Linked DNA regions of Drosophila melanogaster. The protein of the gene in region 2 interacts with the protein of the main gene of each other region in a pairwise test. Each region holds a gene or a part of one and is shown on either strand. Other genes may lie near its edges.

Evidence for each region. The genes of interacting proteins can lie anywhere in the genome.
Region 1: the proteins of jigr1 (region 2) and emp interact in a two-hybrid assay, tested with the Drosophila melanogaster proteins (one large-scale study listed by BioGRID).
Region 3: the proteins of jigr1 (region 2) and Prosbeta4 interact in a two-hybrid assay, tested with the Drosophila melanogaster proteins (one large-scale study listed by BioGRID).

The regions. Positions count from the first base shown.
Region 1 is NT_033778.4:24,980,892-24,986,500, forward strand, and holds the start of emp (epithelial membrane protein), read right to left. Parts: upstream 3,904-5,609; 5' UTR 3,784-3,903; coding exon 3,759-3,783; exon of another isoform or gene 3,668-3,758; intron 3,612-3,667; exon of another isoform or gene 3,490-3,611; intron 2,314-3,489; exon of another isoform or gene 2,136-2,313; intron 268-2,135; exon of another isoform or gene 109-267; intron 1-108.
Region 2 is NT_033777.3:25,635,256-25,641,770, reverse strand, and holds the start of jigr1 (jing interacting gene regulatory 1), read right to left. Parts: upstream 3,929-6,515; 5' UTR 3,699-3,928; exon of another isoform or gene 3,242-3,698; intron 1,979-3,241; exon of another isoform or gene 1,818-1,978; intron 1-1,817.
Region 3 is NT_033779.5:16,729,777-16,733,899, forward strand, and holds Prosbeta4 (proteasome beta4 subunit), read right to left. Parts: upstream 2,358-4,123; 5' UTR 2,258-2,357; coding exon 2,167-2,257; intron 2,093-2,166; coding exon 1,867-2,092; intron 1,802-1,866; coding exon 1,513-1,801; 3' UTR 1,404-1,512; downstream 1-1,403. Other genes in the region: Tsen2 (tRNA splicing endonuclease subunit 2), read left to right, coding at 2-440, 495-757; CG17996 (uncharacterized protein), read right to left, coding at 775-1,079, 1,133-1,184; Nubp1 (NUBP iron-sulfur cluster assembly factor 1), read left to right, coding at 2,856-3,791; glu (gluon), read right to left, coding at 4,021-4,123.

The DNA of each region.
Region 1 (5,609 bases), on a different chromosome or scaffold from region 2:
TGGCTATTGGATCCACCATTGTTGGCATCGCCGCTAACGTTGCCGATGCCGATACCGATGCCCATTGAATACTAATTAACCATAATATAATAATAATAATTATTTCACCTCAAATGAATTTTCGGCGACACTGGTCGGTCAGGCCATTAATCAGTGATTTCCAATTTGGATTTGGCTACCCATGCCTTCAGTTGTTTGGCTCTTTGCCTGCTAATTGGGCTCTGCGTTCACGCCCCACTGGGCTGCTTTGTTCCGAATAACGACTGCAACCGTGCAGCCTGCTCACTGCTCGGAATCAGTACCCGTCGGGCCCAAATGTTTACACAGACCGTATGACTCAGCGTTGCCAAGTGTTTACCCAGAACTTGAGCGACTCTTATCAGCGTCGAGCTCGCCGCGAAGTATGCAAATCTGTGAAACGGGAAACCCTAGACCCAGCAACACCTTTCCATAACAATAGCGCTTCTCGGCATTCCATCCAACTGCGATTTCTGATGTAATGGCTTGTTTTATTTTTGATTTCACTTGCTGTGGCTGTTCAATTAGCAGCTGCTGGCTTCCTAACGCAAATCGCCTGGCCAGAATCCAACTTCAATAGAAACTTACTTTCTAAACACACGTTTGGTATGAGCTGAGCCGAAAGCGGTATTGCGGCGAAGCCATCCGCTCCTCGGCTTTGATCAGCTTGGTGGCGCAGAGATCGAGCTGAATCGTCTCATAATTTAAACGCAGTGAAAAAGTGTTGCACAAATAAATACAAGCGGTAGTAGCTGTTTAGTGGAGGCAATTACCCTGACCCAAATTGTGAGACGCTACCCTTGCGGAGGGTATTACATTCAGAGTTGCACTCCTACAAGTCACTGTCAACCAAGATGTCTGCACTATTTCTTGCCTCTATCGGGGCTTTGTAGGGAAAAAGATTTTCCACGGGTTTTCAATCAAAGCTCCAGAAAATTCCCAAACACAGCTTTAAAGAGTATTTGAAACTTCGGACCGACCCCTCTTTATATGATCCCGCTGATTATGGACAATGTGACACTGACCGTCCAAAAAAGTATGCCAGCGGATGACAATTCACTTGCCGTTTTGTCGTGCCGTGCTGCATTTGATAATACGCAACGAAATGGGTTTTACATCTAGGACTTAAACCATGTTGGTGTCGTCGTCAATGGCGTGACAGACATGTGCGGACTGAAGTGGTTCATCTTGGACTTTCAGTGGGTCAGTTCCGCCGTGGGAGAGACAGGGGACTTCGGAGTGCGAAGCGTGCGATGGCTTTCTCAGTGAAATGTGTCAACAGTTGGCTAAGACAAAGCCACCCAATTGTCACCTCAATTAGATGATCAACTGGGCACAGCGGTAGGGCAAACCGACCTGATGACGGAGATGGCCCAAAGCTCTTTGCTGCTGCAACCTTCACATAATCGTCTTCGTTATGTGGTCAAAAGCTGGCTGGCCCCTGTTCATTTATTTATAAGTATTTATCTTAGGTTTTCTTGCCTGCGCATGCTTAATTTCGGATCTCGCGTCTCGTAAATGTGTGTTTGGCTTTGCTTTTTATTTGATTTCGCTGTGAGTCGCTGCTTCGTGGCAGCCCGAGTGAAGTGCAGAGCGAAATTTCACTTTTTCCACACAAGTAATCATAAAACTATGCACGTACATCAAATGCGCTTTTGGCAGGGCCGCAGACAGCGTTTAGACGCGGAGGCAGCACAGAAACCGAAGCAGAAATAAAAACACAAACACTGAAAAATCATAGCCCCCAAGCATAATTCAATGATTTTCCGCTTTTGTAGCGCTGCTAAGCGAACTCGCTGTCGAAGTGGTTTCATTTTGGCTGACTGGGCAAGGTCTTGCTTAACCAGCGCTCTGATTGGAGTCGAAGTTGGTGACTGGGATGCGGATTCGTACTCGGACCGTGGAACGGGGACCAAGGGTCTGCTACCGATCGGGGCAGAAACAATAATTGAACTCAGCTGTAGTCAGGCAAATCCTAGGAATGCGGCTCGCACTGCTGCCCCAACACTCTCTTACTGCCACTGGTGCCTCGTATCTGGTGCGGCAGGTTTGATTCGGGCTGGACGGGCTGGAAACCACAGGCATTTCCAAATAGCCATGCCAACTCACTCACTCACACTGTTTTTGACGGTAACACGGACTTGCGGCGGTCCGATGTACAAGCCAAGATTCTTGGGCCCGGGCTATAACGAGGAAGGTAATCGTTGATCGGTGAGCAGGGAACGTTAAGCAACAACCGCCGGTAAAAATCGTTAACGACTCGAACGCTCGCAGTGCCGTCAAGTAACTGAAGTCGCCGTCTTCAAGTGGCCCCCCAACGTAAGATCGTAAGATGTTCAGGCGGCGAAAGCTCGGCTTCGCGTTGCGACAAAGCACAACTGGAAAACCTGATAAACAGGTAGGCGAAACCCCCAGCCCGGCAGGTGGGTAGCAATGCAAAAGCGAGAGTGAGCAAGCGGGAGCTTTTGGGTTTTGCTAGTGCAACGCATGCGATCAAAGCACGAGCGGATCGGCATCGGGCGAGGCGGTCCATGTGGTTGCCAATGTTTGGACCAGGCTGATAAAACGAGTTTGTTGCCTTGCCTTGCATTGAAGTCTTTCGTTTTGTTGCGTTGCGCGTTTCGTTTTATGCTACTAACTCCAAAAATATCACTGATTGCCACACCAACACACTCGTCCACTCGCGGGATTATGATATCTGTCGTTAGTGCTCTCGCGGTTGTGGTTGTTGTGGCAGGTGACTCACGGGTTGGTTGCCAAACTCAGCACAATAACCACATCCACGATCGACGACAGGTTGCAGTATGCAGAATGTATGCAAATTTGACAGCTCCGTCGATCTCAAATTATTGTTATTGTCGATGGAGCTTTTTGTCTGCATTGCGAAGCGTTTCTTTGCTGCCTGCCCAGAATCAAAATCTCGCCAAAGCGAAGTCTAGGATATGCGCGATTCAGCTGTGGAAAAAACTGGCGTCAGAAACTTGCTGTATTTACATAATCAATCAACAAGGGGAAATCAATAAAGCTAATGCGATTCAATGAATTGCCCACGTTTTCTTTTCATGCACGGACTTCTTGGTAAACAGCTGGAGAAATTCCGGCTGGTGAATCGCTTCTTCTGCATAAACTGGGACTTGCTAAATAAACAAGTAAGCTGTTTTCCCAGACAAATTATAAAATCTAATATTATAAGAACGGAAAATACAACGGGCACATAGAAAAATCTAAAGTCCACCCTGAAAATATAGTGGACTTTCAGTTGCATGGCGGTAGCGCATCTGGTTGCATTATATAATATATAACATAACATATAACATGATCCAATATAAGCCTTAACTCTTGGGCAATCGTCACACACTAATATAAATATAATTCTACATTTCTTTGTAGTACGTACATAGAAGGTAGGCCAAGACAATATCGCCCCAATGCTTGTGACATTCCACGCCAAGTCCAACCACACATAATCACCTTAATGGAGACCCGTATCCGAAGCTTGACTCCGCGGTGACTTTGCATGCCAATAAGGCTAACCGGGTTGCATGCGACCTTTCTGTTTATGTAAACTGTCGTACAAAGTGGCGCATTTGTTGCTGTAAATGATGCAATAAATAATAACAAAAACACCGCGAAAACAACAACGGCGTACGCATATGCTAATTCAGCTCCGATGGCGTGTCATCATAGCCCCGAAAGCAGTACCAAGTCTAACTTCTGTAATGATTCCATTTCTGACTTACTATGCAGAATGTCGTCCAACTGCATGGCCAACGATCAGAGTTCCATTAAGATTTCAAGAGTTCCAAAGGGTTTTGAGCACTCTCCCAACTGTTTGGCTTCACTACAGTGTACTGGTGTTCTGATATTCGATTGTGTTTGTGAATTGTTTGGCACTTTACTGCCTGGCAACCGGGTTGATAAGGCAGCTCACTCGGGTGATAAGATTCCTGTAAGCGGTCGAAGGGTAGTGGGCACTAGCCGATAATAACCGGCACGAGCAAACATCTGTCGAGGGCGGCTTACGGGAGACCCTAAAACAAGTTTAAGTAACTCATTTAGCCCCTTGAGCTGTCAGCCGAACTTGAACACCGCACAATTAACTGGTCCGTCGAGAGTGCTCAGGTTAATATTTCAGGCAGGTCTGCGAAATTGAGGGGCCAGTAGCTAGCACGACAGATTAAGAGATTGAATACCCGTGCGCGTCAACCGATCAGAGGAAAACAAAAAGTTCAGAGCGGCTATCAACTGTGCTGATGCGAAACCCGATGAGGTGGGCAATAGGCAGGCATTTCGGAAAAGGGACGTTTTGAAACGGCGGAATACTTGAATTGATAAAGCTAAGCTCATTTACACTTGGGGTTCAATAACACGGCTCCGGCGGGGGTATTTGCGATCTTCCGGCCTTTCTGCCATCTCAATAATCCAAGAAGGGGCGCGATAAGCCAGTTTAAATACGTCCTCGTCTCAAAATTACAAACGAGAGCAAGATATGAAAGCATATTCAGCATTTGTGTATTCGTCGCAGTTCTCAGAGTGCATTTCACCGCCGTTAATTACTTGGGTAAACCAAATGCAGGTCCATGGGTAAAGGGAACCCAAGTACTTAAGGGATATTTAAATTGTTTTGGCGACAGCGCACACCTAAAAATAGTTATGGGACTTTTTAAATATTTGCATCAGCGTGCCATAATATAAAATCAAAACGAAAACAAAACATCGACTGGTTTATTTACACTTTTTAAAGGAAATCTATAAAGCCTCCGTTTCTGAGCCTCCTCCTTAACGAATCCATTCTGATTCAATAATAATGATGCGCAGACGAAGCTGGAGCGGAACGAGCAGCTGGAGGTTTGGTACATCTTATATAATGCTCCGAGTGGATTCATTGTTTTGACGATTTGCTTTGCACTTTGTCTCGCGGGTACGCACAAAGCTGCTACGTAGTAAACAAGGGATCCCGATTTCTTGATTTCTCGACAGCGCAGTCGGCGCCGGCTCCGTCCAGCGGTAATCTGCAATCATAGCTGACCGCCTGCCCGGTTATCAGTGCGGCGGCAGCGGCGTCGACCTATGCAGCGACGGCAACTGCGACAGCAAAGAATGAGGAAAGAGGAGCGACTGCTCTGCTGGCATTGCTCAGTTCAGTTGCCCAGCTCGAACTGATTCCGTCCGATTCCGACGTCGTAGTAATAACTTGTTTGGTCGGCAGTACGCACAGTCCAGTCCAGCGGAGAACCAGTCCCAGTTCCAGGCCCGCTCTCTAATCCCAGCGCAGATCGGATCGCCGCGAAACGGGCCAAATCTAATCGGTTCCGTAAGGTTCTCGGCCAGATAGTGCGTGGGCCGGCCCGAGTATGTAGCTAATCGCAGCAAACCAAAAATTTGCAAGTGGATCAACCGGTGGCAGTGGGCCAAACTCGAACTCCGTGCGCAGATAATCAAATTCCGCAAGGCAGTCCGTCTTTAATTGCTGCTTTGAAGTGGAAGTGGCGGCGGAAACTAATATGCGCTAGATTCGTGCACTTACATCTGGACAGGAAAACTGCAGTACGGTTGGAAAACCTGATATTGCTCTAGCTCTAACTCTAGCT
Region 2 (6,515 bases):
AAGACCGAATGGGGCCAAGTTCTCACACAAATTAAAATTGCTATTCTCTTTTTATTTTCGGGCCGCTTCTACGCAAATGTGTAGGGTATGGGTTGCGGCATGGGATGTTCCGAATGGCATCTCATCGAGAAGAATTTAAGCCTCAAATTTCGCAGAGGGGAGACCGAGCTAAGCAAATTTTAAGCTGGTGCTTCATAGTTATATGGGGCATTGCCTATACATGCATGTGTTCATATGTATGTATGTGTATATGTGTAAACAAACGGGTATATGTTTGCCCCCTGTTAGGTATTCGATAGCGCCAATTTGATATGGCGGCCAGGAGCACAAATTAAGTTTCCCAGAAACGAAGAATACTACCTGAACAGCGTAGAATCCCCATTCCATTCTTCTGGCACTGGCAGTAGAGTGTTATCTTCCTTGGCTGCGAGTTTTATGTCTGCTCAGATCGTAAAGCTGTTAGCGACGCTATAAGGAAGAGAATCTCTCAAAAAGAAAGTTGGCAACAACGCAAATAAACTATGTAAAGTGGCTTCTTCAATGGAGAAAGAAGCCAATGCGAATAAGATGTTGCCGCAGGAACTTCATTTTGCTCAGCAGTGTTTTTTAATGCCCCTCAAGATAGTTAAAGGAAATTAATGAGTAGTAAAAGCGAAACGGACGGGCCAAGTTGCCAAAGAGAGTCACTCGATCCAACCACTCAGAGGCCACAAAAGCGAAATCAATATCCAATCATTAATCGTTAACTAATTCCATGAATTCTGCCCGACTTTGGGATCCCGGGTCCAGATTTTTTGGTCAGGTCCGTCTGTATTCGTTCCCATTTACCAAGTTCCAAAAACGCAACCAGACATGCCACACTAAAGACATATATTTATGCCCTGAAAGCAACTTTTGGCGTATTTAGAACAGCAACAACAACAAACAGCGGCAAAAAAACAGAAATATCAAGATAAAAATATTTTTTCGGGCGGCCCTTTGTGGCTCTTCGATGGGACAGTGGCTACACTGCCAAATATTACCCAGTCATAACGGTCAAATAAGATAATTAATAACCTCGCCAAATTTGAATAAATAATTACATATAAATTGAATAGACTGGAACCTTGAAACTATCTTTGCACCTATCAAAGTGATTTTAGTTAAGGTATGTCATGTCAATATTAGTCTTGATTGTTTCCGGTGTATTGGCCCGCCTAAACCAAGTATTTGCTGATTGCGGCTTTGTTGTTGTTATTGTCGTGGCGCGTCTCAAGTCTGGAGTCGTCTCTTTGGGCTCTCTTAAGGGATCTTCTTCTGGGATCTGGGACTTCCTCCCTCCACACACGCGTTTTGAATTCGATTTGCTGATTGCCGTTTGCTTCTTGGCGAGATTTCGATTTCGTCGGCAACAACAGCAACGACGAGCCTCGACCATGAAACAATTTTATATTTTTGTGCAGAAAAAACGAAGATCAATAAAATTTTACCGACAACTGTATTTCGCTCAGACATCGGAGTATAGGGCCCTAAAATTAGTGACCAAATTGTCAAAGTGTGGGCTTTTGGGAGGGGGTGTGGGTCACATTTTTGGTTACAGTAATCAGGACAGAATCGAGCAAAAAGAAATTGAAACTAAGCAGCTGGTAAAAATTTGATCTTAATTTTTTGTGCGCTTCGGTTTTGTAGACTCCGAAAGAGCTACAAAACAAAGTGTTGAAATTTATTTAGGGAATGTGGAGCTTTGTTGCGTTAGAAGGTTATGTTCACTCCATGGGAAACTAATGTGGCAAAAGACAGATTGGGACTGATTGATATGGACTACGATAAATGCTTACATGACCCATGAATTGTTATAATTAATAGTATAGGAAAGAAATGAGTGTATAAATAATATTTCACATCAAGAAAGTAGTTTTACTGCAGCATTTTCCTTGATTTCCTATTATCTACATTTGAGTTGAAAAGGTCCAGAAGTTTTGCCTATCAACTGTGAACTAAAAACACACAAAAAGAAAGTTGCCCCTAGGCCTTGTGCATAATTCTGTAGAAAAGCGAGAAACAAGGAGGCTTTGTAAAAAATGGGGATGAGAAGAGAGGGCGCCGTGTGAGTTCCTGCAGAATCCGCTGCAAGAAAGGTGCTCCAACAACAACAAAAACAAAAATGGCAATTCCCAGAAACGAGAGTGTGTGGGAGGTGGAGAAGGTGAAGATGGAGAATTCTTCCAAAGGAGCAAGAAGAGCAAAGAATAGGGGCCGTCACTAATGAATTTGTATGCAGAGACCGCAATGATTTGGCACAAAAACAAAAGCAACAGTAACGGAAATGCGAGGATTAAGAAAAAAAAGGAAAACGCGGGTCCAACGAACAACATTTTGTGAAATTAGTGCAGACAGTCGAAAAACGCACCTTTTATGTTTTGTAGCCTCTCTTCACATTTTACGATTGCCAGTTGTTTCTTTTTCCATGATTTTTGATTTATGCAAAAGCAATAAAAATTATTATAATGAAGGCGCTGACATGGCTGATGGCCAGAGCAAAAAGCGTGCACTGAGAGAAATAGCTTATACGAATCATCATCAAAGTTCGTCAAAATGATTATTCAATCAATCGGTTTCTTGAAGAAAGTGTGAAGATTTTGAAAAATAAATAAGTTATCCTGGTTTAATATTTAGTTTAAATACTTTTTAAAAACTACAACTGCCATTCTAATTTAAATTAAGATCCTCACATTTTATGTCTGTGTAGGCGAAGAACAGAGTTGGCGACACGTGATGATGGTAGGGATAAGGAGAAGAACTGGGGGCGATGACGATGCTTATGTTCCTTGTCCGTTACTTTAACTTTACTTGCTCTTTCTCCCGCACTGGGGCTCATGTTAAAAAACAAATAAAAGTTCAACAAAAAAGAGCGCGAAGAGAATGAGTCAGAATGTTTGTTTGACTTCTGCACAAAGAATGGCTTCTTATTTCTTTGTGCTTCTGCAAAAGCACATGTAAATAAATCAAAAGGCGACAGGAAAATCGCCATTTTCCCCGCCTATATGCACAATCATTTGGGCGCAAAAAGACTTTTTAGCAGAGCGCTTTAGTTTAACTTCCAACTATTAGCTATTTTGATGGTCAGCATAAATTCTTCACCTTTTTGCCGTAATTATCTGCAGGAGAGAGTCACTCCTCGCGGCTGCGCCCAAAAACGGTTAAACATAAAAAAACTAACGGCAGTTTTATAACGCTGGTCTTGGGAACTTGGGGAGATTACCTTTTGGGAGGCTGCGCCAAAAATGAGCGGAAAATGCCCGCAAAAAGAGTGGGCGCTCAGAGATCCCCGAAGATGATACACAAGCAATCAAAAGAAATGCAACGGCCTCATCGCGCTCCTCATCCTTCTTCTCCTCCTTCCTCCTCTATTCCATCTTCACCCATTTCTTCCTGCACTTGCCGATGCACCGTTACGCGGAGTTGAGCCCGGGTTCAAGATCACCGCACCCAGCCAAATGTTTTTTCTGTTATTTTTTCCTTGATTTTTTCGGGCGCATTCTCCGCCTTGTCTCTTTGCACTTTTACACAGATTCTTTGGGGGATATTTCGTCGGTTTATGATGTTTCTTTTCCTTTAGTTGGTGTTTTTCTATTTTTTTTTTTTTGTGAGGGCACTTGGGACTAACGGTTCTGTTTGGTGAAGTTAACAAATAAAAGTAGCGCGCGCACTCAACTCACCGACAAACAAACACAAGCGCACAAAAATGTTTAACACACCATCGTCGTGCCGGAGGCTCAAGGCTTTAACTTCCTCGATCCGCAGTAACTTGGTCACTTTTTACTTTTATTTCTTTTGATCAGTAGTAGTCAGGAGTTGGAAGGCTCTTTTGAGACACAACCGTCGCCGCCGATGGATTGCGCGCAATTGAATTTCCTCCACAGCGGCGACTCAGCTCGTCGCCTCAACGAAAACGACTTCAGAACTCAGACTCGAATTTCTCTGCCGACGCCGGCAGAAGCAGCGGCTGCAAAAAGGAACGCAGCTCGCAGGGGTGGCAACTTTTAGATACCTACTACCTGCCTTTTAAGGGGCATAGAATGTATAAAGTAACACTTCAAGTCGTGGAGTCTGACGTTAGCTAGACATAAAATATAACAACTTAAGTATACATACATATGTGTATAAATTATACTTTTGTTTAAGGATTTTCATAGTGTATTGGTTTAAATTTAAATGCAGAATAAGATGCATAGCTATATCCTTAGCAACTCGTATGAACTCTCTTACTCTCGAAAAATAAAGGGTACCTCGATCTTTGTTCGCTCTCTGCGCCGAATCGCTTGATACTCTCCCAGAAAGGACCAAAGGTTTCCCTAACAAGGCTTCTGGAATGTCGTAGAACAGGGGGATGTTATGTCATACGAGAAAGAGACTGTCTAAATAAGGATGCAGCCACTGATTTTGAAGGATTTCAAAAGCCTCACCTAATAGATTTTTTTAGGATACTTCTAGAATAATTTATAATATATTTTTAAATTTAAGAGACATATTTAGATATGGAAAGTTCTGCGTAAAGGATACACTTTAAAAGATTTAATGTATATTTATGAAAGCAAATTCATTGCTGACTTACTATAGGTACATATCCCAACATCAGCAATTGTATCCTTCCGAATGCATAGAAGATCCCCTAGAAGCCCAAAAAAGAAGTTTTAACTAAGACTTAAAGCCCAAAAAATGTTGTCCGTCGAGTGAGGCCTTCTGTCAGCTAATGATCGCCCAGAGCAGGCTGGTAAAAGTTGCGAACCTTGGGCCCGGGGACAACTCCATTAGGGCGGCCCACATTCGGTGGCCAGTTGGGTTTACATTTGGTTGGCGAGCAGGTGCATCGGCGGCAAGAGTGCGACCGAGAGTCGCGAGGAAAGTTGCGGCGCGTGGCTAGAGATCGATGAAGAAACCAGAAGACGAAGACCCGCGCTGCCCGCATATCGCGCATCAGGACAATCGCTGAGGCACGAGGCATGTCCGGACACATCTGGAGTGGCACAGAGTCTCATAGTCACACCTTGAGCAGAGCTGATCGCTTAGCTATGAAAAAGATACCATGAAATTTATTACATTTCTTTCAACCAGATCCTTTTTAAGCTTGATCAAAGAACTAAGAACTATAAATCAATTAATGGCATTTAAGATCATTTGTAAGATCAATAACATATTTCGAAAATGAAACCAACAAAGGATTTAAGTTTACTAACTTTTTATTCGGCTTGTAATTGTGCTTTATGCTTATCTTCAATGTGTCTGTACTTATATAATGAGGACGGCTAATATTTCAGCTTTTTTGCAGCGCAGCATAAGAGTCGCAATTTAGCATAAATGAAAACTGAACTGAGATCGCCGATGGCCAGGGCATCATTAAACACATTAACAGACAACAGACGATGGCGATGGCAGGTGATGCCAAACAGAGACAGGTTGGCAAACTGACTGAGTGGCTAAATGACTGACGGTATGACTGACTGACGGACTGAATGACTGACTAACTGAAGGACCGACTAAGAGCGCGGCTGAACGATCCCAATGGCAACTGTACACACAAACGGGCTCGAGTCGTTGGGGACTTTTAATGGGCTTAACCCGTGCCTCGAGGTCTCTTCTCACCGCCGACTCCACCGCACTCCTTTGTTAATTACAAAGGATGTGCCACAGGACAACATCTGCCGAATGCCAATCGATTCCCCAGCCCCTGGATGCTTAACCCCTAAATAAGCAAGCTACATTTTGCATATAAATAAACCCATCTTTGCTTATAGTTACAATGGTTAGATGATATACATACTTACATTTAAAAGTACTGAAAACATACTTTTGTTTATTAATATAACACGATAGGTTTCAAATGTAGTGTATCATAAATTTTCAAGAGGTCAAAGTTTACTTGTTTAGAAACCCCTATCCTTAGTGGGTTAAGCTTTGGTTGTATTCCGCGCAGCTGTACCATCTGTTTCCAGATCCTTCTGATCCTTGCGGCTTACGCACTCTCCTGCTTCTTCTTCTACTTGGTCCCTTCCCATTTCTGCTCCTGTTTGCCTGAATTTTCCATTTCTATTGTCAGGACGAAGGTATCGCAGAACGCAGCCATCGAAGGCCAACTATCCAGCGGCGAAACTAGTTTGCCACCTTTTGCGTCTTTAAGAACCGGTAACGGTACAAAGGTGCTGCCCCTCCCACTTTCCTTTCGCCCATTTGCGAAGCGTTCGAAATGATGTTTTGATATTTTCTCAGTTTTGGGCCCCAAACAAACCATACCAAATGGTCTTATCTCGCCCATTTTGACGAGTGCCTGCCAAAAGGGAAAATCGGGTACTCAGCCATGGCATTTTCTCTCCCCATTACATTATCGTTTACATGCCACCACCCCGATCAGGGGATATATGTATGTATATATGTTTATGTGCCTTTTCCCAGCGATCCCCTCTTCGGTTTGCCCTCTGGTCCATTAAAAAACCGTCGAACGGCTTTATTAATTTGCTGTAATTTGTTTATGTTTTCTA
Region 3 (4,123 bases), on a different chromosome or scaffold from region 2:
AATGCAGTTTACATTTGAGTGCAAAAGAAAGCGCTGCTTTAATAAGAATGCGAATTTCACGCCTCTTCCAAGTGGACAGGATGGCGAACGTTACAAGGGAAGATTTACAGGACTATCCGTCGAGATAGTTGATCCCGAACAGGCTAAATCCCTGCACGATAATGGTTGTTTTGGCAAGGGAAGCAAATCTCGCGGAGGACCAGCAAGTGGAGACGAGAACGAAACCCTGTTTCTCGGAATGGAAGAGTCTTGCTTCCTGGCCCACTATTTAAATGTTTTAGATATAACCAACTCAGCTGGTTATTTAATGGACTTCTGCATGTTTGTGGAGGTCGCCAAAGAGCACAATGAGAAATTTGTTGAGAACTTGGCCAGCTATGTGTATTTGAAGTCCAAGAATTGGGTCATCAAGAGCGGTATTAAGTTCGGCGGTGATTTTCGTAAGTTCTTAACTGAAGAGCTGCGAAATATATATACTAACTTTCCTTTTTTAGTTATCTACAAGCAAAGTCCTCGATTGTACCATGCCAGCTTTTTGGTCATTGTGCAAAAGCCTGGTGATACGGATCACTATCAATCAAAGAACTTGAAGGGTGTTCAACGCGTGGCAGAAACTTCTGATAAGGATGTGCTGCTCCTGACTGTCCAACCGCCTAAGAAGATAAGCTCTTCCAGGGATTTGCAGGAAGCCACAGTAACAGAGACTATTGTGCGGCGTTTTAATTACTTAACTTTTGTACAAAGCAAACAACAATAAGGAACTACTCAGGGACTCTACAACTTCTCCAGCCGGTGCTTCTTGGGTATGCCAGTGCTGCGATAGTCGGCGCGCTCCTGCAGATATATCTGCTTGCACTCCTCCTTGAAGGCTTCGTTCTGATACCACTGGGTGAGGCATTCCTTCAGGGCTGAGTTCTGTTTCCGACAGGTGGCCACCATCAGTATACTGCTGGCCTTGCAGCACTCCTGGAAGTCGGCCACCTCCTTTGAGCAGAACTCCGTCTTGGCACGATCGCGCATTATCTTGGGTATCAGCACTTCGCGCTCCACCTTGCGCAACCTAGTATCATTTGGATCGCCTAGCAAGGGCAGTGTCAGTTGGTGGTCATATTCGATTATTCTGAGGACTCACCCAGTCCATGGGGATTGTGGGGATCCACGGCTGGCTGTTGTTCAAGGCTCATATTGTGTTAAAAATACTATTTATTTTGTATAACAACTTTTAGAGTGACTGCCACCGGTGCGATGAAAAATACTAGGGATATAAAAATACCACGAGTATACTAAAATTAGATTCATTTTTAAGATATAAAATATAATTTTATAATTCGATTTCTTGAATATTGAAATTACTTAATGATCGTCTAGAACACAAAATTTGCCCGACTGATCGCTAATTCAATAATATATTTTTTTTTAAACCGATAAACCACCTTCGTGTATTAAATTAGCCAAGAATCCAGACGCATTTTATTACAAAACTGCATTTTAAATGCTTAAATCAAAACCTAACTAAGCGGCCAGGCTAGCAGCGCTGATTGGCTCCAAATCTCGCACACCATCCTTGTCCACGACGGCGACGGTGAAGTTCTTGAGGTTGACGACCAGGCGCTTCTGGATTTCGGCAATGCACTTCTTGAAGACGTCGTAGGCCTCCGCCTGGGTTATATTGGGGTGCCAGTATCGGTCATAGATGCTGGATGCGAAGATCGCACCATAGCCATGACCGGCGTAATTCACAGGCAGTGCATTGGCCAAATAGTCAATGAAGGTGAGCTCCGGACCCGCGTTGGGATCGTAGCTTTGGGGAGAAGAAACAGATTAGGCACGGAAAGCAAATGGATTGACTGATCTCATGATCCTTACCCGGCCACAAACATGAACACTTGGTAGGGCGTGCGACTGCGAAGATATTCGGCCAGATTCTTGCGAGTAAAATGAGCCGATTCACGTGGACTTAAATCGTAGCCATTGCGCATCTTGTACAACGCTATGTTCTTCGAAATGAATTCGGTAAATTGCTCCGTGTCGCCCGATTCGCCGACGGTTGAAATAAGCAGACTATCCGACACCTTGTGGATTTTGTTCTGATCTGCAATGGAAATTCAAGGAGACTAACGAAATGAGTCCCAAGCCGCCAAGAAAATGAGCACCATTTGGGCTTACCCTCTTTCATCACTATAATGGATCGGGCGTGGGTGGTGTCCGCCGCCAGCATCACGAAGTCAGGGCCCTTGATACCCAGTAGAGTCTCCATGTTGCAATTATATTTATACTTTCGGGGTTTTTTAACGAAAATTACAAGTTGTTTGTGAGTTGCCGAATGCGATGACAAGCAAGTTAAATGCAGAGTGGCCGTATGCTGGGCGGCTAAAAATACCGCTATTCTGAAAAGATACTAATAAATATAAGCTAACACATATTTATAATTTTATTTTATATTTATTATTTATCATTTTAAATTAACTTAATTATACTTAATTTTCAATTATACCTAATTGGTATGATATTCAAATCTTATAAGTTTACTTGCTTACTAAAATTAAAATTAAAATTATTTCAATGTTTCAACTTTGTCTAAATAAAAAAAAACTTTATTTTTAATAAACCCATTTTTGTTTCCTTTAATATGAATATGAATATTTACATATACATAAAAATTATGTTATATAAATTATAATTATAAATTAAATTATTAATAAAATTGAATATCTTAGTTATATATTATTTTTAATTTTAATCGCAGTTAATCAACACTTGTTGAGTGCCCGGTTATAACTTGGCCACACTGTTCCCTTGTTATCATTTCATTTCACAATTAGTTTACGGAATTCGAACTATTGAAACTAAGAGCCATGCAGGCACCACCTCCGGAACACTGTCCTGGCGTCGAGAGCGAGGAGGCGGGCAAGGGAAGTGCCTGTTCGGGCTGCCCCAACCAAGGACTCTGCAGCGATCCCAACAAGAAACTCGAAGATCCCGGCAAGGCTTTGGTGGTCGAATCCATGAAAGATGTCAAACACAAGCTGCTGATCCTGTCCGGGAAAGGCGGCGTTGGCAAGAGCACGGTAACCAGCTTGCTAACCCGCTATCTGGCCAGAAGTAATCCGGACAGTAACTTCGGCGTGCTTGATATCGACATTTGCGGTCCATCGCAACCGCGTTTGATGGGCGCCCTGGGGGAGAGTGTCCACCAGTCTGGGTACGGCTGGTCACCTGTGGGAATCGAAGACAACGTGTGTCTGATGTCCATCGGATTTCTTCTGGGCTCTGTGGACGATGCCATTATTTGGCGAGGACCCAAGAAGAATGGCATGATCAGGCAGTTTCTGAGCGAGGTGGACTGGGGAAATCTGGATCTCCTGCTACTGGACACACCACCTGGAACTTCCGATGAGCACCTGTCTGTGGTTTCGTACCTGAAAGACGACGCCAACCCGGAGTCCCTGCGCGCCGTGATGGTGACCACTCCACAGGAGGTGTCTCTGCTGGACGTGCGCAAGGAGATCAACTTTTGTAAAAAGCAAAATATCCCCATTGTGGGCGTGATCGAGAATATGAGCAGTTTCCGTTGCGGCCATTGTGGAAATAGCTCCGAAATCTTTCCAGCCAAAACCGGAGGAGCCGCTGCCATGTGCGCCGAAATGGGAATCCCGCTGTTGGGCTCCCTGCCTCTGGATCAACAGATATCCAAAGCCTGCGATTCTGGCGAGGATTTAACTGAGTTTAAGAATGTCACCACTGAGGCGCTGGAAGGAATTTGCTCAAAGATTATGGCCAGCTTTAGTTAAGAATAAGTTAAAGACCACTCAGTTTTTAAATAAAAAAAAAGATGCCTGTACAATTTTATGTAACATTTATTATTAAGCATTGAAAGGATAATACCAATTGGAAATACCGATTCACCTGAGGTCATCAAATTACGTCTCGGTCTTTACCAGAAATTAGATTACCAGGCAGTTTACAACATGCCCCTTTACAGGATAAGAAAACATTCTACAATATTGAAGTAGGTTGGAGTTAAACATTAAGTATGGCTGGGGAAGATGGCGGGCTTGCTAGGGACACATCCGTGGTTACTCTTCCCGTGGCATCTGACGGTTGAGCAGCAACCTCAGTGGCG